3 linked regions of the Caenorhabditis elegans genome follow. The protein of the gene in region 3 purifies or fractionates together with the protein of the main gene of each other region. This does not show direct contact. Each region holds a gene or a part of one and is shown on either strand. Other genes may lie near its edges.

Evidence for each region.
Region 1: the proteins of wdr-31 (region 3) and mob-3 fractionate together in Caenorhabditis elegans (co-fractionation; one large-scale study listed by BioGRID). This does not show direct contact.
Region 2: the proteins of wdr-31 (region 3) and C08E8.2 fractionate together in Caenorhabditis elegans (co-fractionation; one large-scale study listed by BioGRID). This does not show direct contact.

The regions. Positions count from the first base shown.
Region 1 is NC_003282.8:7,381,288-7,392,031, forward strand, and holds mob-3 (MOB kinase activator-like 3), read right to left. Parts: upstream 7,657-10,744; 5' UTR 7,640-7,656; coding exon 7,572-7,639; intron 5,982-7,571; exon of another isoform or gene 5,839-5,981; intron 5,553-5,838; coding exon 5,402-5,552; intron 5,079-5,401; coding exon 4,928-5,078; intron 4,874-4,927; coding exon 4,707-4,873; intron 4,607-4,706; coding exon 4,546-4,606; intron 4,494-4,545; coding exon 4,291-4,493; intron 3,871-4,290; coding exon 3,793-3,870; 3' UTR 3,469-3,792; downstream 1-3,468. Other genes in the region: ptp-8 (TYR_PHOSPHATASE_2 domain-containing protein), read left to right, coding at 1,128-1,188, 1,248-1,485, 1,575-1,690, 2,117-2,385, 2,430-2,558, 2,603-2,842, 2,893-3,012, 3,298-3,465.
Region 2 is NC_003283.11:18,351,565-18,360,555, forward strand, and holds C08E8.2 (Strictosidine synthase conserved region domain-containing protein), read right to left. Parts: upstream 4,279-8,991; coding exon 3,966-4,278; intron 3,589-3,965; coding exon 3,121-3,588; intron 2,182-3,120; coding exon 1,946-2,181; downstream 1-1,945. Other genes in the region: C08E8.11 (Salivary lipocalin), read left to right, coding at 645-892, 944-1,072; C08E8.5 (Elongation factor 1-alpha), read right to left, coding at 8,254-8,424.
Region 3 is NC_003280.10:2,728,784-2,739,844, forward strand, and holds wdr-31 (WD_REPEATS_REGION domain-containing protein), read right to left. Parts: upstream 6,510-11,061; 5' UTR 6,460-6,509; coding exon 6,359-6,459; intron 4,149-6,358; coding exon 3,790-4,148; intron 3,739-3,789; coding exon 3,440-3,738; intron 3,027-3,439; coding exon 2,861-3,026; intron 2,811-2,860; coding exon 2,735-2,810; intron 2,672-2,734; coding exon 2,536-2,671; 3' UTR 2,322-2,535; downstream 1-2,321. Other genes in the region: T05A8.8 (Mediator complex subunit 15), read left to right, coding at 7,904-8,119, 8,496-8,607, 8,652-8,773; T05A8.6 (DUF281 domain-containing protein), read right to left, coding at 9,806-9,851, 9,905-10,011, 10,056-10,359, 10,655-10,702, 10,747-10,859.

The sequences.
Region 1 (10,744 bases), on a different chromosome or scaffold from region 3:
AGATTTTTTAGGACATTGTAGAGACAGCAAAAAAATGCATATTGTTCAAAATTTCAAGTCGATACGTTGAATATGAAGATTTTTATAAGCGAAATTGGATTTTTTTGAAAAACGGTCTGTAACTTGGCGGAACATGAAAATATCCGAAAACTTAAAACTGGTAAAATGTAGAAAAATATTTTTCACTCACTATTCAACAAAATTTATCTTTTGAAATTCAATGAAAGTTGAGTTATAAAGGGTACAACAAAAGAGTTCTAAAAATTTTTTGTGAATTTTGGAAAAATAGCTTTGACTCCGTGTAACTCTACAAAAAGTTGGTGTATTAAAATAAAAACTATTGAATTAGAAAGAAAAAATATTTCTGTTCATTTTGTTAGTTGGACATTTGTTTTCCAGATGTGTATTTTTTGAGATACGCCAGTTTGAACAATGAGCAAAGGGTAGGCAATGAGAAAAGGTAGTCAACGAGCAACAAGTAGGCAATCAAAACAGGAAGGCAATGAGCACAGGTATTCAATGAGAAAGAGGTAGGCAAAGAGCAAGGGTAGGCAATGAGCAAGGGTAGGCAATGAGAACAGGTAGTCAATGATTTTGGAGTCAATGAGTATTTGCCTACACTACTTCCTAGTCTACGATTGGGTCACGGAAAGTACATGGTTAAAATTAAAAAAAAAAGTTTTTAATGCTCATTTGGATAACAAATTATTACCACCAAACTTTAAAGACGGTAGTTTAATAATTACTACGCCTTATAAAATTTTTTTTTTCAGACCAACTCCAAATAATCTATTAGTCATAAATAAATGCTCAAAAAACTCATGAGAGCAGAAGTAAAGTGGATGTTCCCCGGAAGTCGTTGGCGACGAAAAACGCGTGTCTCTCTTTTTCCATCTTCTGAATTGCCCAACAACGACGGATTCTCGTTTTTCTTTGGAAGCGTTGCCATAGATACTCTCTCTTTCTCCTTTTTTGACTACAACCAGCATGCTCATACACACTTACACACTCCTCCCATTTTCATATCAAGTCGTCTTCAAGAAAATGTAGAAAAAGAAGAAGAGAGGAAGCGACTCTTGATTCTTTTATAAGTGTCAAGAAGAAAAAGAAGGCGATGGTAAATGAGTATGCCGAAATTATGGTTTTCTGGTGAAAGTGATAATTATAAGTTAGAAGATGAAGAAAAAGGTTTGTTAAAGCTTTATTTTATTTTTGAACTTTGTTCCTATCCAATTTCTACGTTTCAGCGTCAGCAACGTATTCTTCTCTGCGTACTGGTATCCTAAGCCTCACACCTGGTGACCAAAAATGTCGGTTATACTGTAGTGGTCCCCGGTGTAGATTCTGTATCGTAGTAACTGGTCAAACTGAAATTCAAGCAATAGATGGTTTATATTCAACATGGATAACATCTGATATTCTTGCAATGGCACGACTTCAAGTTGAACACTTTGACAGTTTGGGAATTGTGGAGAAATTCAAAACGTAAGTTCTATCTCAATTTGGTTGATAGCGGACTGATGATTGGAAACGATCATATTCTGTTATTCATAAACATTGTTCCTATTCTTTAGAAATGGAATACAATCAGTCATAAATCTTCAAGAAAGCGGAGAGCATTCATTCTGTGGAAGCGGTAATCTGACAAGTGGATTTAGTTATGATCCAGAGAATTTGATGAGAAATGGAAGTGAGTTAACTTTATATTAAAGAATTGATAAACGCTCGATTGCAAGTAGGCACGTTCAGGCCCACGTGTCTGTCCAAAAAGATGTAGATCGCCTTACAGGCTGGAATGTATTTTTCGTCTATGCAAAAAAAACCTGACTAGATCACATTTGGATTTCTGTTTTTTGTGACTACCAATGTATTTGGGATTAAATGTTTATTGAACGAGTAGGGTCCAACGAGAAAATATTTCCAACATTTAAATAATAATTTTTCTTCTAAACATGAGTTGAAAATATTTTGTCGACATTTTCCCAATGTTGTCTATTTGGCAGAATATTTTATAAAGAAACTACAGAAACATGACCATGAAAAACTTCAATGTGCAACAGCTTCTTACTTGTCTAATGAATGAACTACGCTTTAAATTATTTCCATTTTTCTTCAGTTTATCACTACAATTTCCCACTCCCCGACTTCCAAGCATGCACACCAAATCGTCTATTGGATATTGTCAAAGTGGTCGATTTTGCATTATCCCATGGAAAAATAGCAGTTCATTGTCATGCGGGTCACGGAAGAACTGGAATGGTGATTGCTGCATGGATGATGTATGCTTTGGGAATGTCTCCGAGTCAAGCAGTTGATACAGTCAGAAGTAGACGTGCAAAAGCTGTTCAAAGTAAGGAACAGGTGAAAACATTGCATGAGTTCAGAGTAAGTTCGTAATCATATACAATCACAAAAGTTCTATATTGCAGCTTCTAATAAGGAACAATGGAGGGATGATTATTCCTAAAAATAAAATGACACATATTTCGGAATATGTGGCATACAATCAAAAGTTTATAAGTAAACCAGAATCTAGATTATACGGTAAAATTCCTAAAGTAAGTATTTAAATTTTCTAAATAAATAAATAACATATTTTCAGATAGTTTACATTGCAATGCGAATAACACTTCAAAAAATGTATTCATCAGTGAATTTCGAAGTAGAAAACGATTACCGTATGAAAATTAAATGCGAAGGGCCATTACCTGAAAATAAATCATTCGATGAACAATTATTAAATGCTCAATTAAATGATGATGATCATGAAAAAACTCATTTTTGGTATATGGATCAAGTGAAGAATGGGCTCTCAATATCTACAATTAGTCGTCAATTAGAGGTTAGTTGGTGAGAGAGATTCAGGAAAATGTTAATCTGATTAAAATTTAGAATGAAGATTTTCGAGATATTATACGTCTTCTTGATTTGTTCTTTCATTCGACATTTCATCAATTGACGCATAAAGAGGAAATATTTGCAGTTTTACAGAATTGGGATCAAACTGAAAAGGTTAGAAATTTTGGAATTGTTGAGCAGATGTACCCGAAAAAATGATTATTTGATAATATACATTCAATGTGAAGAATTGTTAGTGTAGATTTTGTATAAACAAAAAAATAAAATTCGAGTTTAGTGACTTGCATGAAGATATAATTGACAGTTTAGTGAAAATAACGAAATACGTATTCCACTTATCGCGAACTTGAAACAGTAGATTTTAGAACGCAGTTTTTCAAAATAACATGATTTCAAATTATCAGTTTTGCTCTATTACTCCAAATTCCATTTTTTCAGGATTGGTCTCCAACGTTTTGGTTTTTATTAAAATGTATCCGTGAAATGCCTATTCCTCTTCATTTGGCACTATCACGTCTTATTTCCAAATGGTTCCTACGTTCTGAAGTGGAAATCGCGTCACGCATCAAACACATTTTATCATCACCGGTTACTTCAAACGAGTAAATTCAATAAAAGTTTTTTTCGAGAAATAAAAAAAAATGAAATCATTAAAAAAAAAAAAATGAAATCACTTTGGCGGGAAGTCTTTGCATCATAAAGAAACAAAGAAACGGGGAAGGCAAGTAGAAATAGAGGGGAAACGATTTGGATGAATACTGTTTACATGCGATAAATCGTTGGGAATACGGAGAGAATGAGAAGTACAAGTTGAACTGAACATGGAAAAGTTGCACTTTAATTGAGACAGAAAGCAGAAACAGTGATGGTTCACAACCGAAAATGACTGGTATTCAGGAAAAAGAAGAAGAATGACATGAAATGGAACAAAAATCATGACCGGAATGCGTTGGCAGAAGGAATTGGAGCTCGGCGATTTGATGGCTCCAGAAGACGTTCAGTCATGTCTTTCTGAAAAAAAAACAAGTGCTTTTATTTGAAAAAAAAATCACAGATTAATTTTTTTTTGAAGAACATCAAGTTATTTTCCTCAAAATTGAGGACAAACTTCTTTTATTTTTTAAACATTTTTTGTTGGGTCCTTCTTTTTTTTTTGAGAAATCAAAAAAAAATCTTCGCTCTTGGATTTTGCAATCGAAAAAGCGACGCCCTTGCTCCAATAGTGTTTTTTAAATTTACTATTTTTAAACTTGCTCTTTTCTTAAAAAATAAAAAAAAATCCTCCTAGGCGTGAAAAGTGGGAGGGGAAAAAAATTGAAAATTTGCGTTTCGTGAGACAGTTTAAATAATTATTTGAACATATCTTTTTTTGTTTTTGGTAAAACTTTTCTCTTTTTTTTTCAAAGTGTGCTCCAAATTTGCATAACTTACCAATGCCTCCAATTCTTTAGTGGACACCATTCCATATTCAGTCACAAAAAAGTAAAAATGTTTATAAAGGGTATTGGCGTGTGGTTCAGCACCCAATTCTCGAATCCGATCGAAATGATGAATGTAGACGTGCACGAAGACACGGAACAAGCGAGTGAGAATCTTTTTGCAAATTTGACGGAAATCTTTTGGAAATGATACATCTGAAATAATCAATAAAATTAACTATATATATCGTACAAAATCAAATCTTACTTGTGCTTGATGGGAAGATGTGCTCATCATTAATGCGAACTTCAATCCAATCCATTAGCAGCTGAAACAACGGTGTATCAGTTTACCGAAATCACACAATTGTGAGAAGGGTGCAAATAGAAAGAGAGGGGTATTAGGTTACAGAAAACGCAAAAACAAACCTGCATGTACTGCGGAGCAGGGAGTCTTGTCGGTTTTTTATACTCAATACCATCCTGCCACAAATATTCATAACGGGATCCTCCACACATAGTTGGGCAAGATTCACGAGTGCATACATCAGAAATCGTTCCATACATCAAATTAATTCGATTGAAAAAGTCAACAGCTGAACGAAAATTCAGTTTTAAATTTAAACTGGACCATTTTTGTTGAAACTTACTATGTACAGCCAGCCAATCATCAAAGTTCTCACTTGGTGGCAGTTTGACAGCATGACGAAGATCTACACCCGAATGAAGAGTTGCTTCTGCTTGTTTGTGAAGACTGTAGCGGAGTGTACCTTGTGGAAACTTCTTTTTCGGACGGAATGTCTACAAACAAAATACTTTTCGTTCAATTTCAGAAAATGGTAATTTACGCAGCTTGGTCCCAAATGCCAAGATATCACAAAAAATTAAAAGAAAACACTCATTAAGTTTGAAAAAGAAAACTACTAATTTCGGTAAATTTTCAATTTTCTAATGTTCCTAATTTGAATTACAGCGCATTTGTCTTTAAACCACGCACATTTTTCAGTGCCGGACTTTGGTTTTTATCAATTTCGATGCAAAATAATGTTTTTTTTCTTATTTTTAATAAAGAAAAAAAGCCAACAAAAATATTTATCTCAAATCAAAAATTTGTTTTTGATTACCTTATGCTTGTTGACCTGCAGAAAATCGAGAAAACTGGCCATAACTGCAAACAATGGTTGTGGATCCTTTCGTTTTTCGTCTCCACCGGAAGAGACGATGGCGCCCGAAGGCGGTGAAGTTCGGCGTGGAGTTGACGGCAAAATTCCCGATCTGCAAGAGAAGGAAGGTTTAATGAGTCGTAAAACTGGGTTAGTGGTGAACTAAATGAAAGCAAGCGAAGTTCATTGGCTCACTTTTTCAAACGAATAAAGAACATCATCATGGTAGTTTTTCATAGAAATTGTGGCCGAAAAGTTGCGAAACGCGTAAGGAATTTTAAATTTTCTGATGAAATCGCATTGTCTCGTGAATTCTATTTTTGAATTCACCGCTTCCCGTTCGGTTTCCGCATAGAAACACACAAATTTAACGAATTTATGAGATTTCGGAGATTTACCTGGATTTCCAGATCGGATCAGTAATGAAGTCGGGATGAAGAATGAAAGGATTTTTAGACTGGTGGTTGGTGGGAAATTAGCGAATTTTAATGATGGATAGGCTGTGGCGCGGCACTCTCTCACGCAGTTGGCCCCGAAGAAACAGAAAGAGAAGAGACATACACACAATGAACATCATGCGTTGGGGACGAAGCAAAACGAGAGAGTATTGGGATAGGGGGATACGCAGAGAAGAATAGGTAGCAGTTGAAATGGATGGAGAGATGATAGAGCAATATAGAATGTAGATACGCAGACAGTGTGAGTTGCGGGAGGGCATGGATTGTGTGTGTGTGTGTGTGTGGCAACGAGGATTTGATAATGAGCAGTCATGAGAAGGACCAAGAGAGATGAGTGCAAATTGGGTGAGAATCTATGATTCCGGAAGTTGTCGTAAAGCAAGCATTTTGAATTTTATTTCAAATATGCAATGCCTACAGTAACCCTAGTAGGTCTAGAAGGTTCACCACCGTGGAGTACAAAAATCTCGATTTTCATTTTTAGACTTTAATAGCACAAAACAACCGAAATTCGTAATGAGAAATTTTGAAAATTTCTCAAAAAATAATTCTGGCGGGTCAAAATTTTCGATTTTAGCTGAAAATATAAATACCCTTTTCAAAACTTTGATCCGCCGTAACAATTTTTTGAGAAATTTTCAATACGTCTCATCACAAAATTCTCCACTTTCAATCGTCCATAATCTACAAAACATCATTTTTCAAAACTTAAATATGCAATAACGGTTAAAACCAGAATTTTCGATAGAACTACGAAGTTGTATATTATATAATTTTTGGAGAACCATCGGAGTTTTCCAATCTCCAAACATAAAATCTCTATTTGAATTGGGAACTTTTGATGACTCAATAGTAGTGGGCAAAACTTTTGTGGACTTTACAACTTCAACGGCATAGTTTTACTTTTCCAATACAAAACAGGAAAATAAGAACAACACACATTTAATGGTAGCCGGAAGAGAAATGAGGAAATTATGAGGGTACTTTGGCGTGGGCTTTCTAGCTTCAGTTTCTCATTCCAAAAGAGTAGACATTTCTGATGTATTTCATTGAAATAGGTTTTGCATGACCAACTGTTTTTTCAATGTCCTCGAACGATTTCCCAGGTTGAATGACATTTGAAGGTGACAATTGACAATGGCCGACACATTTTATTTGCATCTCATTATCACATCATTCTGTGAACCTACAGTACCCTTTAGACTGTCAGTCTTCTTTTAGAAATTGCACTCTTTCAAAAGATAAATTCGACGTTTTTAAGTCTCTTTTGGAAATAATGATCGACATAGAAGCCAGACATTTGACGAAAGCTGGCCAAAATCATGGACTAAGAACTTTTGATTACGGACAAATCTGTTGAAACTAGAAAATGAAAATATTTTAATGTTTTTGGAAATAAAATTGAATAATACGTTCAGAAATTGTAGTAAAAGAAGAACGAATAAGTTGACAGAACTTCACAGTGATGATTTTGACTGACAGCCGGCCTGTGTCAATGTCAAAAATCTCTACGGATTCCGGATTGAAAAATCAGCGTTTTCTACTAAAACCGAACAAGAAAGAGGAACGTTCAACGAAATTTAATGGATGTTTGCCTTCGAATCATTGCATCGCATTCAGAATGCCAAATGAGTCGAATATGAATAATCGGTAGTGAAAAACTTGGAACAAACCTTTGTTTTGTAGGTGTGTCGCCACGTTGAAGTGCCTCCGGAAGACCATAGCAGTTGAGAAGAGACATGGAGAAAGGGAAGCGTTCTGAAATGAGAAGAAAATTATTGTTGGATGAAAAAATATGTTTTCAAATAAATTAAGGACACGTGGACCGGCGTGTGTAATCAATTTTAAATCATTTTCAAAAGAATTTCTTTCTAATCTGTAAATTTAGAACCCTTTCTGCGTTTTCGGTAATCCAGGTTTTCTGGTTATCTCGAAAAACCGGCAAAATATGGGAGAAAAGATTTATATTCAAAAAATTTCAATATTTCACATAAACTAAAAATTTAAGTTTTTTAGATTTTTTTTCAGGATTTCATTATAGAGGTTTCTCAAAACAAAAGAATAAAAATCTGAATATATTGGAAATGTTCGACATGAAACGTTTCGCAGTTTTAAAATTGAAGTGAGTAAATTCAGGTTGAAAGTCAAACATATTTCTGAAAAATAATGAAAATAAAACTTTTTTACGTCCGTTTGAACTGAACTAATGGGGTTATTCAAGTAGTGTCGTGAAATTGAAAAGTGTATTTCAATACACTTTTTGCCTTATTCAAGTAACATCAAAAACATGTATTTCAATACAGTTTGTGACGTAATTTCGCGACATTTCTCGACATTTCTCGACATTTTTCCACAGTGGATTTATCAGAATTGTTCTCCTTCGACGGCAAATTGTATGGATTTTCACCCGCGGGGACACCTTTCTCTGTGTTTTTCATTCAGTTGTCCGCTTTCTGGTTGTCGCATAATGTCGAGAAATGTCGAGAAATGTCGCGAAATTACGTCACAAACTGTATTGAAATATATGTTTTTGATGTTACTTGAATAAGGCAAAAAGTGTATTGAAATACACTTTTCAATTTCACGACACTACTTGAATAACCCCATAAATTAAAAAAAATAAAAACTCCAATTTTCCAGGAGAAAAAAAAAAAAATAAAAACTAACAGGAAAAATGTTTTTTACCAAACAAATAAATCGTCGTAAGATTTGGTGTATTTTGTGCACTTAGCCTACCGTAACCCACGGTAAAATGCAGAATTGTGGTTCAAATCATTTTAATTTTCCCACGATATATTTTCCCACGCTGTATGTTCTTCTCGGCTATTTTTTGCTGTTTTATTTGATTTTTCATAATTTTAAAATATTATAATTCTTATTTCTTGAATTTGTAGTAGATGATGCAAAAGAGGGGTCGCTTTAAAAGCAGATTAAATTCTTCCATGTCTTATGTGCTCATTTTCCGTTCGATTGCCCATTTGAAAACGAAAAAATCTGCCGCTTCTCTGGTCTTATTCGTCGTGGATCGTTGTCGAGCAGCTCTTCTCCGTCGTCGCGCGTCTCGGCTTTTCCATCGTTTTTTCTGCGCCCTCTAGTTCTCTCGCTCCCTTTATTTTGCTCGCACTTGGCTTCATGCCAGCTGGTCCCCTCTGCTTTTTGCATACTATCTAATTCAGACCCCAGTCGCTTGCATTGGGAAAGGCCACCTCATTGAGCTCTGTCCACAACGAGTTTGGACCCAGACTGGCATAAAACCATATGCCTATGAAATTGTGTAAAATGTTTCTTCTTTCTAAAATCAGTTCGCAATTATTTCGTTCCTTGTTCCTTCCCGTTCGAATTTTGAATCTATTCTCTCTCTCTCTCTCTCAAGTTCCTTCATTTCCCGCCAAGTGTTTCTCTTCATTGCGACTTTCGACCAGCTGTTCGAGCAGCTCCTGTATCATTTTTTGCTACGAATTTCTTCACCAACTGCACGTAAACTGCTACTTTAGTTATTTGTTATATTTTTGTTGTGTTTAAAACTGAAGAGGTCACCGGAGCGAACATTTTCTAGAAAATTCTATTGTCGCACAGACAACAATATAATGTCTAGAAAGAATGCGATTCTATTCTGAGAGGCTGGTCCATCATAAAGTGACGAAAATGATTATGTGCGAGGGTGTGTTTTGTTCGTCTCTTCATCCAATCTTCTTCTCTCGAACCTCTTCCGTTTCTTTCAGCTCGAAAATCGCAAGAAATAGTCTATAAATAATCCAGCGAATCACTGAAAGACTGATGTTTTGTCTCTTTTTGATGTATAAAAGTGCTTGTTTCTATCAGTCTTTCGAAAGATTTTGTTGAAATATTGTATTCTTATTCTGTGTAGGTTACTGTGTGTCACTTTTGGCGAACAAAGAAAGTTCAACCGGGAAGAAATATTACCGTAGCATGTTCTCTCCGTTTTCTCTCACTTGCTTTTGCACTTTTGGTCTCCTCTTTATTGCATCATTCCGGGCCCCTTTGCAAATGTGTTTGATATTCTATCGACCAAAAAGTTTGATTCATAAGTTGAAGGCTAAAGTTTTTATTCTTTTTGTATTATTAGAATGCTCTTATCGAATACAATTAAATCCCACTACACTAAAGAGGTAACCTCATTAATCTAGACAAAAATTACTTCCTTTCGGAATTATCGCATTCCAAAGTTTAGATTCATTAAATATTTCTTTATTTTGTAATTTTCTCTCTTGTGGCACCTTGTTTTGGCTCACATGGCATTCGGCGAAAGCAAAACATGAATGTCTGTTTTCAAAGTTATGCATTCACCCCCATCCTCCAACTTTTCTATGAAAAAGATTTGGTCTATGATCTTTCCAGCCATGAGCTCGTCGCATTCTATTGAGTTTTGAGAAGAGAAGAAGCTCTAGAATTGTGTGCTCGTTGTTCGACTCTTTCAGGATAAATTTCATAAGTAGAGAGACTTTTCATCTTACACTGTTAGCTACGGTGACGTCATGAGAGCAACAATATACGCTCTTTGTGCGCGGGCCGAATGATTGCGAAAGAGAAAGAGCGTCTGCATTGGACGTGTGACCTTCAATGTACCCTTAAGACTCCGCCTTATTTTGAATCATAACATTTTTGTCTGCTAGACGACCCTTGGCATTCGTCCAATTTTTTTCGAAACTTTGAGTAGGAATTAGATTTGCAAAAAAAAGTGAAAACGAGCCAGTAGATCCTCCTCGTATCTTCATTCTTCTTTCGTTTCAAATTGATTGCTCCTTTTCGTTGTCTCTTCTGTGCATTTTCCGTGAACTTCACCAATAGGTCATAGGGATCTGCTTCTCGCTAGTGGGATATCCTG
Region 2 (8,991 bases), on a different chromosome or scaffold from region 3:
GTTGGAATTTGGAAGAAAAAATGATTTTTTTTTCAAAAAAAAAAAATTAAAAATTAAAATTTTTTCCAAATTTATATTCATCCAATTCAAAATTTCATTGTGATCCCGAAAAATTAAATATCAAGGGTCTTCGGACAAAAGCCACAGGATTACGGTAGCTTTAACAACGAGGCGAAAAAGAGGAGAGACGCAGACAACGAGACTGTCTCTTTTCTCTGCGCTCTCTCAAAATTTCAAAGTTATCAGAAATATGCCATGATTATACTTATTCGAATTGGGAAAACATGCTGAATATGAAAATTAACAAAAAAAAATTTAGAAAAATAAAAATTTCAAAAAAAAAAATTTTTTTTAGAAAAAAAAAAAAAAATAAATTTTTCGAAAAATAAATTTTTCGATTTTTTTTTTAAAATTATTTCAAATCTAAATTGATTAAAACCTTTTTGATTTTTTGAGTTTAAAAAATACATAACAGAAGCTTAATCGAACGTCTAGCAAGCGACGAGGCATTATGAGAGACGCAGACAGTGAGAGTGTCTCGTTTCTCTGCGCTCTCTCGAATTTTCAATGTTATCAGATATATGTCATGATTATACTTGAAATGACCGGAATTGAATGCCGATTTCAATTTCATAAATTTCCAGAAACATGTAACTGCTCCACAACAGACATCCCATTGTACACTGAGACCTACACCAAAGACTGGTGGTACGCGAAGCGTGACGAGGCAGTCAAAGAGAGCGGTTTTCCAGAAGCAAGTGGAACTATTGGCTACACAATGCTTTATGATAGAAAGACATGCTCAGCATCTACCGAATGTCTTTTTACTTCAACTGGCGACAAAAGTAGAATCTCCAATTCTACACTGGTTATTGTGACAGCCGATAAAAAGGTGAACTAATGCAAATCCAGTGATAAACTGGAAAATCGAAAAATTTTACAGGTAGCCGAGTTTCCGGCCTACTTCCTTCCACGCGAAGATCTCAGTTTCCCTGATGTGGACTGTGTTCTTGACAAGTATCACTACAAAGGCTCTGAAATCGTCTCGGCAGGATGCCTTCAAGTCTATTGAATTTTTCGCGACTCAGTAATAAATTATTATTTTTTGGAACGAAATCCTAAAATACACATCCGAATCGTCTTAACGTGCTGATTCCAAAAAGTATGCATACCACGGGTTTCAGCGCAAAACTAACAGAGTTACGGTAGTTTTAAACCCCGCCGGCGAGAGAGGAGATGCGCAGACACTGAGAGTGTCTCGCTTCTCTGCGCTCTCTCCAAATTTCAAATTTATCCGAAATATGTCATGATCATACTTAAAATGACCGGACATGCTCGCTGATTTCGAAAATTATAATTTAAAAAAACATAGATTCAAAAATTCCGGAAAAATTGCAATTTTTAAATTTTCAAAATTTTCGAAAAAAATTGAAAATTTCAAAAAAATTTGATTATTTAAAACTTAGTTAAGATCTCAAAATATGTATTCAGAAGTATAATTTAAAAAAAAACATTCAGAAAAATTTTAAACTAAAAGTTTCTATAAACCATATTTGTAAAATAAAAATTCAAAACTCCCCACTAATAAATGAATGATTATTTTTTGAAACGAAGTCCTTATACTCATTCGAACCGTCTTGAATTGCTGATTTCAAAAAGTATGCATACCACGGGTCTCGGCACGAAACCAACAGAGATAGGGTAGTTTTAAACCCCGCCGGCGAGAGAGGAGATGCGCAGACAGCGATAGTGTCTCGTTTCTCTGTGCTCTCTCATAGCCGAAATTTTATCGGAAGTAGGTCATGATTATACTTAAAATGACCGGGAAAACATACTGATTTCGAAAATTTAAGTTTCAAAGAAAGAAAAAAAATTTGAACATTTTTTGAAAAATTTGAAACTTCAAAAAAAAACTTCATTCAAAAATCCACTAAAAATATTCAAATCAAAGTTCAACTTTAGCAATATAAGTGTCTGCAAAACTGCCCAAATACAAGAATCCATTGTGTTCTGTGACCTGTGACACGTCACTAACATGTTTTCCAGTGACGTCATGCAGGCTTCTGATAATTTTCCCGTTGGAGTCCAACTCAACAATTATCGAGTGAGGATGTTTCGAAAAGACGAGAATTTTCATCCAATGGGCCGCCGGGACAATGTCGACAAAGAATTGACGGACTCCTGCAAAAATTGTTGTAGTTTGTAGTTATTGTAGTGTACTAAATTGTAGTTTGTAGTCATTAACTCGTTGATGCTTGCCTAATATAATATGTATGTCCTTGGCTGTTGTAGTTTGTAGTTTAAGTGTTTGGTGTAGTGTATAGTTATTGTAGTTTGTAGTTATTGTAGTTTGTAGTTATTGTTGTTTGTAGTTATCGTAGTTTGTAGTTGATGAAGTTAATGTAGTTTGTAGTTGATGTAGTTGATGTAGTTTGCAGTTTGTAGTTATTGCTGTTATTGCACTTTTCTATAGAAAATTGGTAATTTTTGCAGTTTTTGTAGTTTAGAGTAATTTAGTTTGTAGTTATTGTAATTTGTAGTCTTTTACCTTGCTTTTGAAAGAATTTTATTAATTTTTTCAAAATTATTTGCATTCCCACTAGGTCGAATAAACAAGCTTGAAAATTACAGACTGTAAAACCGAAATTTTAAAGTATAAACTACAAACTACAAACTACAAACTACAAACTACAAACCACAAACTACAAACTACAAACTACAAGCAACAAACTACAAACTACAAACTACAAACAACAACTTATAAACTGCAATTCATGTCACCTACAGAATGTACCAATTTTTTCGAAAAATGTTCTGATCGGTTTTGAAAAGTACATATTATTAAAACTACAAACTACAAACTACAAACTACAAACTATAAACTACAAACTACAAACTACATACTACATACTGCATACTACAAACTACAAGCTACAAACTACAAACTACAAACTACAAACTACAAACTACAGACTTGACGGTCACTATTAAACTTGACAGTTTTTGTTCAAAACTCTACAGATTTGAGGACTGCTCGCTGATTGTATTTATCATTGTATAGTAGTTTGTAGTTTTTGTAGTTTTTGTAGTTTGTAGTCATTACAGTTTGTAGTCACCCACCTGGCCAATTTCCCAACCGATCCAACAAAGACGGATAATTTTTCGAGCGAGTCGCCGCCAACCCGACCCAAAATGTGCCACGTGGAGTTCCCCGGATGTTATCCGGCAGCCCGGGCAAGTTTTCGCAGAAAATATCGATTTTTCCAGTTTCCAGATCCAATTTCTTGATCCGAGCCATCGAACATTCGGCGAAAATCGCCGATTTCTTGTCGGGGGTCAGCTGGATTCCATTGGGAAAGTACAGATTTTTAGCCAACACTTTTACGGTTCCAGTCGAGATTTTCAGATGCAAAATGCGACCGTCTCCCTGATGTTCCAGCACTAGATTGAAGAAGTGTCGGCAGTCATGTCGGATTGAGCTGTGTGTGATGATGAGCTCGTCCTCTGAGATTACGTCCAGGTCGTTGAGGAAGTTGGGCCTGAATCCGTCGATTGGCTTGGAAGCGTCCAGGATTTGTGTTGATTTTGCTGGAAAATATAGGTTCTAAGAATATCAGGTTGAAAAAGTGCTACGAGGCAAAAAATTTTTTTGAAAAAACAATTTTCAAAATTTCAAAAAAAAAATTTTGTCCTAATTTTGCCAAAATTTATACTCATTCAAACCGCCTGGACCTCCTAATTTCAAAAATATATTTATCTAAAATATCACTCTAAACGAAAAAAGTTACGGCCGGCGAGAGAGAGTGAGAGGGCGCAGACGACGATAGTGTCTCGTTTCTCTGCGCTCTCTCGAAATTGCGAAACTATCAGAAATGTGCCATGATTATACTTATATTGACCGAAAAAACACGCTGAATTCAAAAATTAACGTTGCGAAACTGCTAAATCAAAATTAAATAACTCACGTCTCAATTCATCGGAAAAATCGATAATGAAAACTCCCAAATACGCATCCACAAGTACAAACTTCTTAGTTCCCTCCACAAGCTTCCTAATTCCAAGGGGTCTTCCACAAATCGCTTCAGCCTCGAATCTTGTCATATTCGGCGGAAAAATCGGATTCTTCGAGTACACCGCAGTGGCCCGAACCTTTCCATCCACGATTTTCAGCACTTTTGCGTCATTTACAGATACATAAATGGCTTCATCATCAACTACCATAGATTCTGGTCCAATTACCTGTCCCTCCAGTATGCTGAGCTTTTTGGAGTTTGTCATTGATTTCCAGGGCTCCGGTGAGCTCTGGCGGCGGAGAAAATTGATATTCTTCGGCGAAAGTCTCACTTTTACAGCAGCAAATTCCCATTTTTCTGGAAACAATAGACTATGAACTACAATGACTACAAACTACAATAACTACAAACTACAAACTACTAAGAAAGCAAAGTTTTGTCGGATACATTAAAGTTTAGTATTAAAGTTAAAGCCTCACTATTTCCTATGAAACCAGCTTGCAAACTACAAACTACAAACTACAAACTACAAACTACAAAAAACCCTTTTGAAAACTTACCTTTTTTTGACAAAAATTTCAGATTTTTTGAAAATTTTCAAGATTTTACTGATCTCAAGTTTTCTTGGCATTTATTATATACTATATGAACCGTGATATATACAATTTTTGATGAGATTTATCATTTGTCAGCCAACAACTGGGCATGAAACAGGCGGAGTTTTGTGATAATGTGTGGTTTGTGTGTGTGTGCTTCGAGTGCTAAAGAGCAAAATGTTTGCTCTTCGGAGGGGTGAGTATGATAAGTATAGGAGGTGTGAAGTTAGAGTGTAGTTGGAATGAGTTTTTAAAGGTGGACTACGCCCAGTGGGGAAATTGCTTTAAAACACGCCCATGGGGCCACAATGACCGAATATCATGATAAAAAAATTCAAAAAAATTTTCTAGATCTTATATGATTTTTTGAAAATTGGAAAAATCTCAGTTTTCACCTAATTATTTTTGAATTTCCGCCAATTGAATTTGTTTGGTGGAGCGCGCTTGCATTATTTTTATTAATTTATTCTATTTATTCTCGTTATTTTACTGTTTTTCATCATTGTCTATGTTTTTTTCTCGGAAAATAAAAGAAATAAACAAGACAAATGCAAAATGTTTGTTAAAAAGTAATTGAAAATGCTTAAAACTGTGAAATATACTAATTTCAGGCTTGTTGTCGTCGGAACAAAGAATATCACAGTTTTAATCATTTTCAGTTACTTTTTAACAAACATTTTGCATTTGTCTTGTTTATTTCTTCCATTTTCCTAGAAAAAAACATAGAAAATGATGAAAAACTGTAAAATAACGAGAATAAATAAAATAAATAAATAAAAAATAATGCAAGCGCGCTCCACCGAACAAATCCATTTGGCGGAAATTCAAAAATAATTAGGTGAAAACTGAGATTTTTCCCATTTTCAAAAAATCATATAAAATCTAGAAAATTTTTTTGAATTTTTTTATCATGATATTCGGTCATTGTGGCCCCATGGGCGTGTTTTAAAGCAATTTCCCCACTGGGCGTAGTCCACCTTTAATTGAACTTACTTAAATAGTATAAATTTTAAAAAATTAAACAAAAATCGCAACAAAAAAAAAATTTTGGGAACAGTTTTTTTCGCTAATTTTTATACTCATTCAAACCGCCTCGGTCTCTTGATTTTGAAAAAATATATATCTCATCCCTAACTTTAAAACTAGCAGAGTTATGGTAGTTTTTACACAGCGCGTGAGAGGGCGCACACAGTGAGAGTGTCTCGTTTCTCTGCGCTCTCTCGAAATTTCAAAGTTATCGGAATAACGTCATGATTATACTTTTTTGAACCGCAAAAATGTGTATAATTCAAATTTTTAGATTAAAATAAATATGGGCCAATATTTTTTGAAAAATTTTTTTTTTTTAATTTGAAAAAACAATTTTTTTTCCAAAACCCCCATAATAATCCCAATTTTAAATCAGATTTTAATCTGAACTACGTGATCTTTGCAGGAAAACTTGTAGAATTTGAAATTCTCAGTTCAAAAATGTATTTTAAGAATAACATTGAAATGAAAATAAAAGTTTGTAATTTTTTATATTTTTTGAAAAATGAAGATTTTTTTAATTTGATTTTTTTTGGGACACAGGATATTTTCCGATTTTTCGCACAATTTCAGTATTTTTCAGATGAAAAAACGCTCAAAAAAAATTAAATGAGGTTTTTGATGCAGAAACACAAAAAAGTTCCAATTTATCTCTCAAGACAGCTGTAACTTTTCTGAAAAAGCTGTCCCTTACAGTCCCATCCATAAATCTCCACTTCCTTCTTCACCAGAGAAGTTCTCATAATGAAAGTTAGTATAAATACTGATACTGAGACCCCCATTTCAGACAAAATGTTTATTATTCTAGCTCTATGTTTTGTAGCCTTCGTCAATGCAGAACAAGTGTGCACACAAACTTGTGTTGGTAAGGTTCTTATTTTTTGTCAGAAACATTAAATACTTATATTTAGTTTTAAAAAAAGTGTTCAAAATTTTCTTCTAATTTCAAAAATATATCTAAAATTATAATTGCTTCAAAAATAAAGGAGTTATGGTAGTTTTAGGAAAATTTGAAATTTTGAAAATCGAAAAAATTTAAATTTTTCAAATTTTTCAATTATTTTGTTATCTAGACTTGATTTGGAAGCATCCAGGAACTGTGTTGATTTGGCAAAAAATATTGGTCCAGAAACCAGAAAAGAATTTCGAGGAAGTCCTGAAAAGAATTTCGAGGAAAAGAAAAAAATTTGATAAAAATTTCAAATTTTTTTCCAAACATTCAAAAAAAATTTTTTCCTATTTTATTCAAGTTTACACTCATTCGAACCGCCTAGACTCTCTGATTTCAAAGATATAATTATCACAAAAACCACGCCAAAACTAAGAAAGTTATGGCCGTTTTTATACCCGCCGCTAGAGAGTGAGAGGGCGCAGACAGCGAGAGTGTCTCGTTTCTCTGTGCTCTCTCGAAATTTCAAAGTTATCAGAAGTATGCCATGATTATACTTATTTTGACCGGAATAATATGCTGAAAAAATCAAAATCTTTGGAAAATAAATTAAAAACAATTTTTTTCTCGAAACACCTACCATCTAAACTTGAACTTTGTGAAAATTTCAAAAATTTAAGTTCAACTTTTTCCAGAAACGTGCCAGTGCGAATCAATTGAAATATTGCCCCGCATCACGGAGACCTACACCCGACAATGGTGGAATGCAAAACGTGAATAGGCAAAGGCCAACCAGAAAAAACCAGTAGATGCAAGCTATGGTTCAGTTTCTTTGTATCCACAAACAGCATGCATAGCAACATCCCTCTGCAGGGTTAATGTTATTGACTCAGGCGCTTGGAATCTAACAATGTTTATTATTACAGCTGATAAAAAGGTGGGAAATCTTTTTTTTAAATATAAAAACTAGCCGTTCGCGCGCGAGTTTCCAGAAAATTTCAGAACATTCCAGAAATTTTTTGAATTTTCCCCAAATTTCTAGAACATCCCAGAAATTTATTGAATTTTCCCGAAAGTTCTAGAACATTTCAGATATTTTTTGAATTTTTCAGAAAACTCTAGAACATTCCAGAACTTTCTCGAATTTTTTAGAAGATTCTAGAACATTCCCGTCAAAATTTTTCTCGGAAAATTTGAACTCCCGTCGAACATTTTCTTTAAAAAATTTGAATTTCCGTCAAGGCTTTTATAGTTAAGCTTTTGAAAATTTACCAGAAGTATTCAATTAGTTTTTTTCTTGGTATAATTAAAAAAAAAAGAATTTTGCAGGTTTCCAAACTTCCATTCTCCAGCATGCTGCTTTCTTCTAATACGATCTACCCGGAAATGGATTGTGTTCTTAATAAGTATCACTACAAAGGATCTGAAGTTGTCGCGGCAGGCTGTATTACATTGATCGGCTAACCATTCAAAATGGGATCTTTCTTTCAAATTTTCATAAATAAATTTTCATTCCAACCGTGTTGAGTTTCTCATTTTTCTGGAAAAAAATTGAAAAAAAGAAACCGAAAATTCCCGGGAAAGTACAAGATTTATTGATGTCAAAAACCCATTTTTACAAAAAAATAGTTTGGGGATGTTTCAGAAATTACAGAAAATGTTAGGAAAAAAAAATTCAAAAAAATTTTTTTTTTGAAAAATTATCCAGAACAAAAGTCCAAAATCGTCACAAATAAGCAGTCTGCGTCCTTCTGAATCCTTTTCTCTTCTCCTCCAGCGCACGATCCATCAATTTCTTCTCTCCATTTGCTACAGTAATACCAGAAGCTGGAGCTCCGCACTTTTTGAGCTCCAAGTCAGAGTTGAAGCTGTGAATCTCCATAGTCACGTGGAACATTTTTAGAAGTATAGAAAATATGAAAAATACAGAAAATTTAAGCCAAGAAACTCATAATTTCATTTAAAAATTGTCCTATTTATATACCAGCTCCACCCTCACCAATGTTCTCCAAGGGCTTCCATTTTTTGAAAAATAAAAAAAACTTTTTGAAATTGTCCCGGATTAAAATTGAGATCTCTGACTGGAAATTGTTTATTTTAGTTTTCCAAAAAATCCAAAAATTTGGAAGAAATCCAAGTTTTTTCCAGTTGTTTTCGATAGTTTGAGACATAATCCCTCACAAATCCCTTACTATGTTTTGGTTATGTTTTTAAATGTTCTAGTGTGATTATTAATGTTTTAAGATGCTTAAAAGTCTAAAAAATCAGAAAAGAAGCCGGGAACTTGGGTGCGAACGGGTTGGGTTAAGCTTTGAACTCCTGAAAATTGACTTGTGAGCTTGGAAGTGGTGTAACTTTGCAACGAGGTGAAGTATTTAAATTTGATGTGTATATTCTGAAAGATAAACATTTGAATATGTATTGTGTGAAATTTCAGAAAAATCGATAATTCTTTGAAAATTGT
Region 3 (11,061 bases):
AAATCTGCCGAAAGTTGTCAGAAGTTGCCGAACTTTTACTGAAAGCTTTTGTAATTGCCGACGGTTATCGAAAGTTGCAGTCAGTGGCCAAACCGAAATATGTCGGGCGCTACTAGGGACGCCTGCATCAAACCTGCCCACCTTCACAGCGCCCGACACTTTTCGGGCTCCGCATCACACTAGACAGAAGAAGCGGCTGGCGGCGTGAGACGCAATGCGGGCGCGGCAGGAGTTTTGGCTCAAAACTACATGGAAGCCCTACCAACAAGTATCAAAATTTTCCGAAAATTTCTTCGGGGTTAGTCGAAAGTTGTCGAAAGTTGCCCGTAATTTGTCAAAATTTGCCTGAAACTGGCGAAAATCCGTACTTTTCAAAAAAAAAACTCGCGATCAAAGTCCTTTTTCTAGAGTATCAGTTACCTCTTCTATCAAGATCTTTGAGTTTTTTCTCGTAGTAACAGGACCCTCTCCACGTGTAATAGAGGCTCGCAGGTTTTTTTTTTTGAAATTTCAGCAACGTCCGTCAATTTTCGGCAACTTTCAACTTTCGGCAACCAAAATCAAAAATTAAATGGAAAAATCCGAAAAATTGCCGTTTTTGTGTGTGCGACTAAAAGATAAATGAACTTCTATCAAATTTGTGCTCTCGCGGAGCAAAGGGCAATTGGCTCGACACGGGGCAGCAGAAAAAAAAACCAACAAGAAAAATTGAGAGACAAAAAGGAGAAGCATGTGTTTCAATTTTTTTTGTTTCTTTTTTTTTTTAAGAAAATATATGTGCTTCTGGGATCATCAGATGATGCAAGGAAACTTTTAAAATTGGGGAATATTGACAAAAAATTTTCAAAAAATTGTTAAAAGTTGCCGAAAGTTGATGGAAACTGCCGAAATTTGCCAAAAGTTGCTTTTGCCAAAAAATTGCCAAAAAAAATTGCCAAAATTGCCAAAAAATATTAACTGCGAAAAACATCTGAGAAGCCTTTAAAACTTTTGAAAAACAGAAGAATTAGTTGCACAACTGGAAAAATAAACAAATTCGGTGTCAAAATAATTTTTTCGAAAATTATGTTGTAAGAAAGGGATGGAATAACTTTTCTATAACTTGTGGCAACTTCCTTCATTTTTGGCAATTATTTGACTATTCCTGTTTTTGGAAACAGATATCTGAAAAAAAAAATCGAAATTTTTCTTTTGAAGAACATTCAATGAAAATCTGACAAAAAAAACAACAAACCATACATAATTATTCTATAAAAAAGTTGACAAAATGGGGGTCTAGGCAGGGTGGGTGTAGACGAAAACCAGTTTGACCTATTGAGTACATTTTTTGAATCAAAAATATAATTCAAACCCGATATCCGGCTGGCAACACAGATCTGAACCAAACGCAACAGAAAATTTAACAATTCAGGAAATTCCCACCTCTACCCTTTCTAGCAAAGGAGGAGGAGGAGGGATGAAAATGAACCCACATTCGGAAATCTAATCAACGAGAGTAGTACTTTTCGGAATACATTCCCCGAGATTTTTGAATTTTTTATGAGAGGGATTTCCCCCTGGATAATGTAACTTGGGAAATGTAGTGGTCAGGCTGGGCAAGTTAAGCAAAAGTGGTCGGAGCAGAGTCTAGGAGCCTCATCGAGAGTTAAAAAAACTTTGCCAGGCCCTAGAGTCTCATTACAGGCCCAGAAGCCTCCTCGAGGTCCTTGAGTCTGGGGCAGTCTGCAAGATTTTACAGCTTTTGGCAAACTCCATGAAGCTTACGTAGTAGTTATTAGCCTTATTAGTTATTAGTATTAGTATTAGTATTAGTATTAGTATTAGCCTTATTAGTATTAGTTATGTAGCCAGACCTCCCCAGTCGAAATTTATACTGTCCTTAGCAAGAAATTTTTTAAAGAAAAAAAAAGTATTGTGATGCATGATTTTCGAGAAAAAAGTTGAAAAATTGCAAAAACAAAAGCTCTCTTTTTCTTTCTTCTGTTTTGTTTAGACTGATTGAATGGAAGCTGTGAGCCCTCCTCCCTGCTCTCCCAAATCAAATCGGAACCTTTTTGTCTTTCGCCGTTTTATCTCGGCGGCTTCTTCCTGTCTCTTTTTTTTTTAGAAATTTCATTTTCTGGGGAATTCGGAATTTGTAGTTTTTTGTTGTGATGAAGTTTTCAAAAGTCAAAAAGTTGTAGAAAGTTGCCGTAATGCAAAAAAGAGACTTCTCTAAAATAGCATAATCCGAGACATAAGCCTAAGCCTAAGCCCAAACCTAGGCCTAAGCCTAAGCCTATGCCTAAGCCTAATCCTGAGCCTAAGCCTGAACTCAAAAATTCCAGAATTTTCATTCATTAATATATGTACCAAAATATTCCAAATATTCATATAGGAGAAGATGATAAGAAAAATCGGAGCCCAAATTGGCTCAGCTCGTACAAAATTACACGGGGAGACAGGAACGGGGGTGAGGGCGCGGAAAAAGAGATCACAGAGCGAGATGGAAAGAAATCTACAAAGTGTACAGAAATGTCAGATGATCAAAAAAAATTAGTGAAGTGCGTGGGAGCTTCCCGACATGGCCATACTGTGCTGCTGGATGAGCTGGACGTCTAGGATGACACGCTGCGCCGTGAGCTTCGCCTGATAGTGGATGAGACGGCCTTTGCCACCCGACACAATTATGCTGAAAAAATTAGATTTTCTCATCTCAAGATTCTTAGGATCCCTAGGTTCCTTAGGAACTCACTGTCCATCCGGATAGCTGCAGACTTGAAGATTATCCGCTTCCAGTGGCACGTCCTCGTTCCAGATTGGTTTTAGCACTGGAATCAGAGTTTCACAAATTTTGCTCATTTTCAGATTTTAAGCTCACCAGCCTGCCCGTCCTCTTCAATCTTCCATAGCCTGATCTGCCTGTCAGCCGAGACTGAAGCTAGGAGCCGCTTGGTCTGGTCCATTTGCACTATGGAGAGCGAGGTGACGTTGCCCTCGTGACCGCGGGCTTCTCTGGACTGGCGGGGGTTGCGGACGTCGTAGGACTGGAAAATTTGGATTACAGAGGGGCTTATTAATCGGCCTGAAACATTCACAAGTTCTATTAAGACTGCGCTTTAGATCAAATGAAACTGAACCTTAGCATTCCAGGAACTCTGCGAATCTTAGGCTCAGACTTATGCCAGTCTGGCCCAAACATTATCCTAGCTTGCTCTTCAGGATCGTAATTATACCTACACTTTGACTTGATACCAATCATGCTCAGCTAGTCTAAGTATCCGGCTCACAAGCTGGTCAGCTTTATTTAGGCGCCTCATAATCAGTCCTCAGCCCAAAAAGGGGTACCAGGTATGGGCTCAGCTACAATTTAGAATACTGGGTCAAAAGATCAAAAGTTACGATGAAAGGTGCCGTACAGCGCCCGACATTTTCCTGGTCCCTGCTTCAAATGTCTTACCGTAATCTCACACCCGTCATTGTTGAACCCGTTTGAGCAGGAGAAGAATCGATTCGCACCGTCAAACTCGCAGAACATCTGAATGTGCCGTTTTCGCGGGAATTCGGTCACCACTGACGCGTTACGCGGATCCCACAACCTGACGCTCTTGTCCTCCGACGTCTGAGCCACCAAGTTTCCGTTGTAGGCCATATGGGTGACGAGGTTACGATTGATGGTCTGGGTGCGTACACATTTCGCGGATTCTAGATCCCAGATCTTCACAGAACAGTCACGGGATCCGCTCATAAATTGGTTTTCTGAAATTTAAAATTGAAAACTCTTGCAGAACCTATAGAAAGTATGCTCACCATTAATACTAACAACGCCGGTCACCCCGAACTTGTGTCCATCGAAAACCACGTTCGGAAGATCCCCAGGCTCGTGGTTGAACATCCAATGGGTCAGAGTCCCATTCCTGCCCGCAGCAATCAGTGAGTGCTTGGCGATAAAGTTACGGTAGCAGATCTTATTGATCTCGCACGAGTTGGACCACATATTATGGATCTCGCCACTGTCGGTGTTTGTCAGGACCGCCCGTCCATCCTTCCCGCCTGACAATATCATCCCGGCGCGGATTACGGTCAGGTTGTTCACGGTGTCGACGTGGCCAGCACGACCGACCATCGGCTTCGCGATCTTTCCGTGGGTGGAGCGGGATCGTTGGAGTCTGGAAATTTTGGAAAACATGTTTTTATCGGTGGATTTGAATAATGTTATTCACCAAATTCTCATTGTTCTCCTTGTTTTTGAAAAAAAAACATGTTTTTATTAAAATTTTAGAGTTATTTTTCGCAAAAAGTTAGTACATATAAAGTTGAGCCTAGTGCTCATTTTTATCAAAACACTGAAATTTTCGCTATGAATTTCATTATTTTCTGTGCATTTCTGTGTGTTATCTGTGCTTCGGTGAGTTCAAGCATACAGTACCCATCATGGTAGTCGGAATCAACTACAGTAATGCTACAGTACCACTACAGTAATTCTACGTCGCTACTACAGTAACCTAACAATGACCCTACAGTAGCTCTATGGTACCACTACAGTAACCCTACATCACCACTACAGTAATCCTACAGTACCATAACAGTAGACCTCCATTGCCAATACATTAATCCAGTATCACTACAGTAAGCCTAGAGTATCATTACAGTAACTATACAGTACTACTACAGTAACCCTACATCAGCACTACAGTAATTCTACAATACCACTACAGTAACCCTACATCACCACTACAGTAATCCTACAGTACCATAACAGTAGACCTCCATTGCCAATACATCAATCCAGTATCACTACAGTAAGCCTAGAGTATCATTACAGTAACTATACAGTACTACTACAGTAACCCTACATCAACACTACAGTAATTCTACAATACCACTACAGTAACCCTACATCACCACTACAGTACCATAACAGTAGACCTCCATTGCCAATACATTAATCCAGTATCACTACAGTAAGCCTAGAGTACCATTACAGTAACTATACAGTACTACTACAGTAACCCTACATCAGCACTACAGTAATTCTACAATACCACTACAGTAACCTAACAGTCATCCTACAGTAACTCTATAGAGCCACTACCGTAATCCTACATCACCACTACAGTAACCCTACAGTATCCCGATCTATTTTTCAGGCCCAAGCTCAGGGAATCGTTGTCCCGGAGCCAAATCCAGTGATAGATCTGAAAAATGCACTTTGCAGTTTAATCAGAGAGCTCAAAAGCCTGCTGACCCCGGGTCAAATGTCGATTTATTCGGAGGTAATCTTAATTTTCAAAATTTGAGAAAACATAAACTTTTTCCAGATTTGCCCAGTTATCTACTACTAGCAGTTGGGAAACAAATAATTTTTGTGTTTTTTTGTATCAATAAATATTTTTTTGCACGAAGTACAATGAAAAAAAAGCGTCCCAGTCTGTGTGTCCTTCCCATTGTCATAAAAACCTCAGAGGGTGCAATAAAGTGGAATTTTTTCGTTTTGGTTTTCGATTTCAAAGACGCTCAAAATCAGGGCACACTTTTTTCTTGAAGCTTATAACTGAAATGTTTCAGGTCATTTTTTCCTCAAAAACAGTGGGCTTGAGCTTGACCGTAAGCCTAAGCCTAAGCCTAAATCTAAGCCTAAATCTAGGGTTGAGCCAAAGCCTAAGCCTCAGCATAAGCTTAATCCAAATCCTCAGCTTAAGCCTAAGCCAAAGCCAAAGCCTAAGTCTAAGCCTAAGCCTAGGCCTAAGCCTCAGCCTAAGCCTATGTCTACGCCTAAGTCTAAATCTAAGCCTAAGCCTAATTATAAGCCGCGTCAAAAAATTTTAGATTTTTTTTTGGAAAATGTATCAAATTGTTCCCATGAAAAAAAAAACACGGCTAAGACAAATTTTCAGAAACTGATGAAAAAATGGCCTGAAACAATTTCAGATCGTCTTTTTTTCTAGTTCAAACTTTTTTCTATTGAAATAGGCTTCATGAAACTTGCGCAGGCCTACCAGACTCCAAAAACCTTCCGTTTAATCTTCAAAAGTTAAAATTTCCATCCTAACTGATCGCTTCCTCCCCCGGCGTCCTCCAAAGGAAAGGGCATCAATGTGTCTGCGTCTCTACTTGTCCGTCCACTCACTGACCACCAACCCCCCACAAACAAAAAATGAAGGAAAAAACACACTGACACGCACCAAATGGCAGATGATGATAGGCGCCAAGAGACGGAGAGACGCAGACACATCGAGAGAGGTCGCCCTGGCGAACACTGCGCGCGCCAAGTACCGTTTGAATATGGCGGGAGCCTTTTTGAAAACGTTTTTTTTTTGTGTTTTTGGGTAAATCTTTTTTTGTTCTTTTTTCATCGATTTTTCTACTAATAACTTACTGATTAACGACCGTCTCGTTCGGGTCCAAAGTGCTGATCTGTGTGTAGGTGCCGGAGATCTTGTGCTGCACATAGTGCACAAGCTTCCCAAATTTCTCCATAGTTGGCTGGAAATTAGGTCAAATCGAAAATTAAACAACAAAACCGGGGGGAGCTAAGGAAAAAAAGAAATACTCAAAAGCTTCTTCTTCCCCATCTTAGCTGGAGCCCAGCGCGTCGTCAAGGAAACCGCGGCCGGTGAGAGAGCGCAGAGACGCAGAGAGATGAGCGAAGAGTAAGAAGAAGAAGAAGCGAACAAAAAATGAATTGAAATGAGCATAAAAAACGCGAAGAAGAAGAGAAGATGTGTGTGCCAGCGCACCATAAACACCACCACACCTTTTATTGTTTGAGCCTTCTCTTGTGCTCGGGGGTTTTTCTCTAATTCTATCAAATTTTTGTTGCTCCCCCCTCTGCTACTTGACGAGCTCAACTCTCCAGGGGTCCCCCCAAATTTTTATTTGAAAATTAATAGCCAAAATGAGTGACTGGCTCTTGTGGGAGACTCAAACTTTTCGAATTTCAAACTTTTCCTTGAGAAAACCTGAACAGATAAGCCTGCTAATATTAGTTGTGTAGGCTAGATAACGAGTTATCAGCTACAAAAAAGAACTGAAGAGAGTGGGATTCGAACCCACGCCCCCGAAGGGACTGGTGCCTTAAACCAGCGCCTTGGACCGCTCGGCCATCTCTCCGCCGGCGGCACATCAGGAGCGGAGCGGTTAGCCGACAGGGGGAAAATGTAAAACATGGGAGATAACGTCCGAGAAACATGGTGCATCGAAGTGTCATTTTAGTCTAAATCAGGGTCCAAACTTAGAATTTCACCTCAAAAACGGCTACGCTTATTTCTATATTCAATTTCTTTTTTTTAATCATCGATCTAAAATATCAGATCTATATTCCCGATTCCCATGCCACATTTCATTTACATATAGGTCTCCCATCTTTTGCACAATATTTTTCCACATATATTCAATATACTATTCTGCCAAATAAAGTATAAAAAGGCTTAGACGGCCCCAAACAAATCTACATTCTTTCAAACACAAAATTTTCACAACGCTTCACTGCAAAATAGCTACAAAAAAGAACTGAAGAGAGTGGGATTCGAACCCACGCCCCCGAAGGGACTGGTGCCTTAAACCAGCGCCTTGGACCGCTCGGCCATCTCTCCACCGGTTTGTCTGCAACCCTAAGGGCGTACAGAATTTTATGACTCTTGTGCTCTTTGTGCATTTTTCAGAGCTACTTGTGACGTCAAACCGAGGCGAAAAATTATTTTAAACAAAGCTAATCAGAATGAGACTTTCACCTGCTTCTCGCTTTTCCGTCAAAACTTCTTCTTCTTTTTTTTCAAAACTTCTTAACTCCGCAATCTATAATTTTGTTTTGTTTAGAAATAATTATATACCTAGAAGCTAGCTACTCTCCAATTTCTCCCGGAAATTTTTATTATTTTTGAAGCTCGCTCAGGCTTTCAATTCTCAAATTTACAGTCACCAAATGATACCAACGAATTGCTCAGCGCAAGCGAAAAAGGAGTGTCCGCCGGCTGTGCACGTGCCTATCGAGCCGACAGGCATGAATCAGCAAGGATCCATGCATTTCAGTCAGGGACTGCTTCCGTCGAGTTGTTGGCTGGTGGTTCCCTCATCTGCGCTGATACATCCACAGGTGCCGGTGCCGCAGATTCAGGTTATGAATTCGATGGATTATGTGGTGAGTCGGCCTTTGTCGCCGTTCTTTGCGCTGAGCATTTAGGCGTGAACTCCGGTGTTTACGGCTGCACATCATAGTTGTGCGCTAACCATAAGCAGTGCCAGTGCACAAGGTAGTTATTTGGAAGCAGCCGACACGTTCAGGGTTCCGCGCCACACGGTACACCCCCGCCCGCCGCCACACACGATCACCCTTCTCTGTTGCACACAGCTAAAGTGGCGCGAGGTCCCGCATAGCGTCGGCCGCAGTATACAGTGTGTGATAGTGCGCGCGAGCGAGCGTGCGGGAGTAGGGCGGGCGTGGTGTGCCCTTTTCGCGCCTCGCCTTCGTGGAAGGCCTACTTCAGAGCCATCAGTTAGCTTCTCAAATTTTTCAGAAAATCATCGAAATCGCCTGCGCCGACCTGGCGGTCACCACAAAACTGAAACGCCAAAAGTCAAAGCCCGCAGAGATGAACCCGACGAGAGAGTATATCAGTCATTTGAAAGGTTTGGGCTCACCACTTAGATCTTAACGATTCCTGAATTTCCAGATCAATTCGAACGGAGCCACTACAGTAGAGCTTTGGCGATGCTCAACAGCGTGTCGGGAGCCCAGTCCTCACAGTCGACGTCGCCGATTTCCATGTCTCCACGGGCTTCCAATGATCGTTGATCTTACATATTCTGTGTTGACTTTTTTTAAATCGCGGTTCTTAAGTTATTGAAATGTTTCGGGGTGGTTTTAACATTATTATATCAATTGAAATTTATTATGTATGTTGAATGTTGACATTTTCTGCAAATTAAGTTCTTATGAAGTGTTGAAAAAAAACATTGTTACATTGCAAAGCATGTCTGAAATGATGACCAACCTGTAGGATCTTTTCAAAAAATTTGAGTTCTTAAAAAAAAATTTTCTTAGAAAATCTGAACTGCAATTGTGGTGGTAATCGTGTCCGGATAGACAATTCACATTGTTTTGTGGATGATAACCTACTTTTGACAGGCGTTCGGGAGAAGATGAAAGGGAAAGCGAGAAATGATAAGTGTTGGTTATAAAATTGTTTTGTCAACATATCATATTTAGAATTGAAGTTGAAAACGAGAATTTCCGCATAAATGTTCAAAAATTCAAAATTTCTGAAGCTCTAACCTAATGCTTTGGAACTTCTAGCTCTGAAAAGCATCACCTAAAAATAGGGCAGCCCCCGCAGCCCCGTAGTAGCACAGTTTCAATGATGTCCCGTGCCAATTTTCATAAAACTGAATATAAATTGGATTGATGTTGCTAAAGGGCTGCGAAGGGCTGAACTGGGCTGAAGCTGTGCTGCGAAGGGCTGCGAGTATGAGCTTTTTCCTGAGGGGCTGGGGCTCAGCCTCCTTTCAGCACTGTAGCTCTCTGCTCTCGCAGAGAGTTATCTGGATATTTGAAATGTCAGCTGAAAACCCCAGAATCCTAAAAATAATCCTAAAAAGCGCTAAAACGCTTGCCGCGACCTCTGCCTGCCTCGCGCCGATAGCCTCAACTCCTCTATAGTGCGGCGAAAAACCAGAAAAATGTCGGCCGCGTCGAAAAAGGTCCTTCAACCGCGCCTGCCTTACATGGAAGCCTTAGACGCGAAGGGTCAATAAAAATGAATTGATGTCTATAAGTTTTTATTATATTATAAAATAGCAAAACTGAATTAAATTCCCAAGATTATTCTCAGCATGGTGTTACAAGCTTCAGTGTCACTTCAACGCCGCGTTGCCTGAAAACAGTCAGCTTGTACATTTGAGACACATATTCATAAACTAGACTCACGCTGCACCATCCTGCCATACCCCATCCGCTTGGCAGCGCAATTCAGTATCGGTTTCGTTACCAGTACTACTGCCCGTCCTGGTAACAACGCCTGATTCACTTCTAATCTGAAGGCTTTTATAAGAAATTCGAGCATTTTCTCAAAACTTACATAAAGCTCAGCCGTCTCGCAACCCATATTTTCACAAAATATCTGGAGAGTAGCACAACCATTTACCGTACTTCCAGTTGAGGCACAATGGACGTTAGCGAGCATCGGATCGGTAAGAATGTCTTGTGAGCAGGTCGTGCAATCCGGAGCCTTGGTTGTAGTTGGAGCTGTGGTGGTCGTGCAATCCGGAGCCTTGGTTGTAGTTGGAGCTGTGGTGGTGGTCACAGTTGTTGCTCCCGGAGTTGTAGTTAGCACTGGCTTCACGCGCACTGGTTTAGTCGTTGTTCCACAAGTTGTGCATTTCCTGAAAAGTATTTTGTATGGACCAAAATGTGCTCGAATTTTTTAAAGAAAATTCTCCAATGTTTTTTGAAATTTTTTTAATAGCAGTTCAAAATTTCGAAAATAAAATTGCAAAACTTTTGCTATTTTTCCATGTCACAGTGGTCCATTTAAAGCATATGACAACACCTAGGCCTAAGCTTTAGCCTAAGCCAAAGCCTAAACCTGAGTCTAAACCTAAGTTTAAATTTAAGCCTTAGTCCAAGCCTGAGCCTAGGCCTAAGATTCACCATTTAAAAAAAAAATTTTTAACAAACTTTTGAGAAGTTTCATAAAGAAATGCGTCCATTTGAGCACTTTTCGGTCTATAAGTTCAAAGTTTCAAAAAGATTTTAAAAGTTCAACTTACGTAGTTGGAAGCTTTACAATTTTGGTAGCTAATGGGTCTGGCAAAATCGGGATGCATGAATTCAATTGGTTTGGGCAAATGGCAAGTGCAATAAATAATGCCCAGTTAAACATAGCTGGTGAATAATATTTTGAAGATTAAATAGTTAAGGCAATCACTTTCTCGTTGCTGATAACCTACATTTGTTCATATCATTCGAAATAAGTAAAAGTGAATGGAAAGAAGAAGGATTGATAAGAATTTTTCGAGATTGTTTTTTTTTGTGGCTATACACAAATATCTGAAATTTAAGCTTGAAAATCTCTGAAATACATC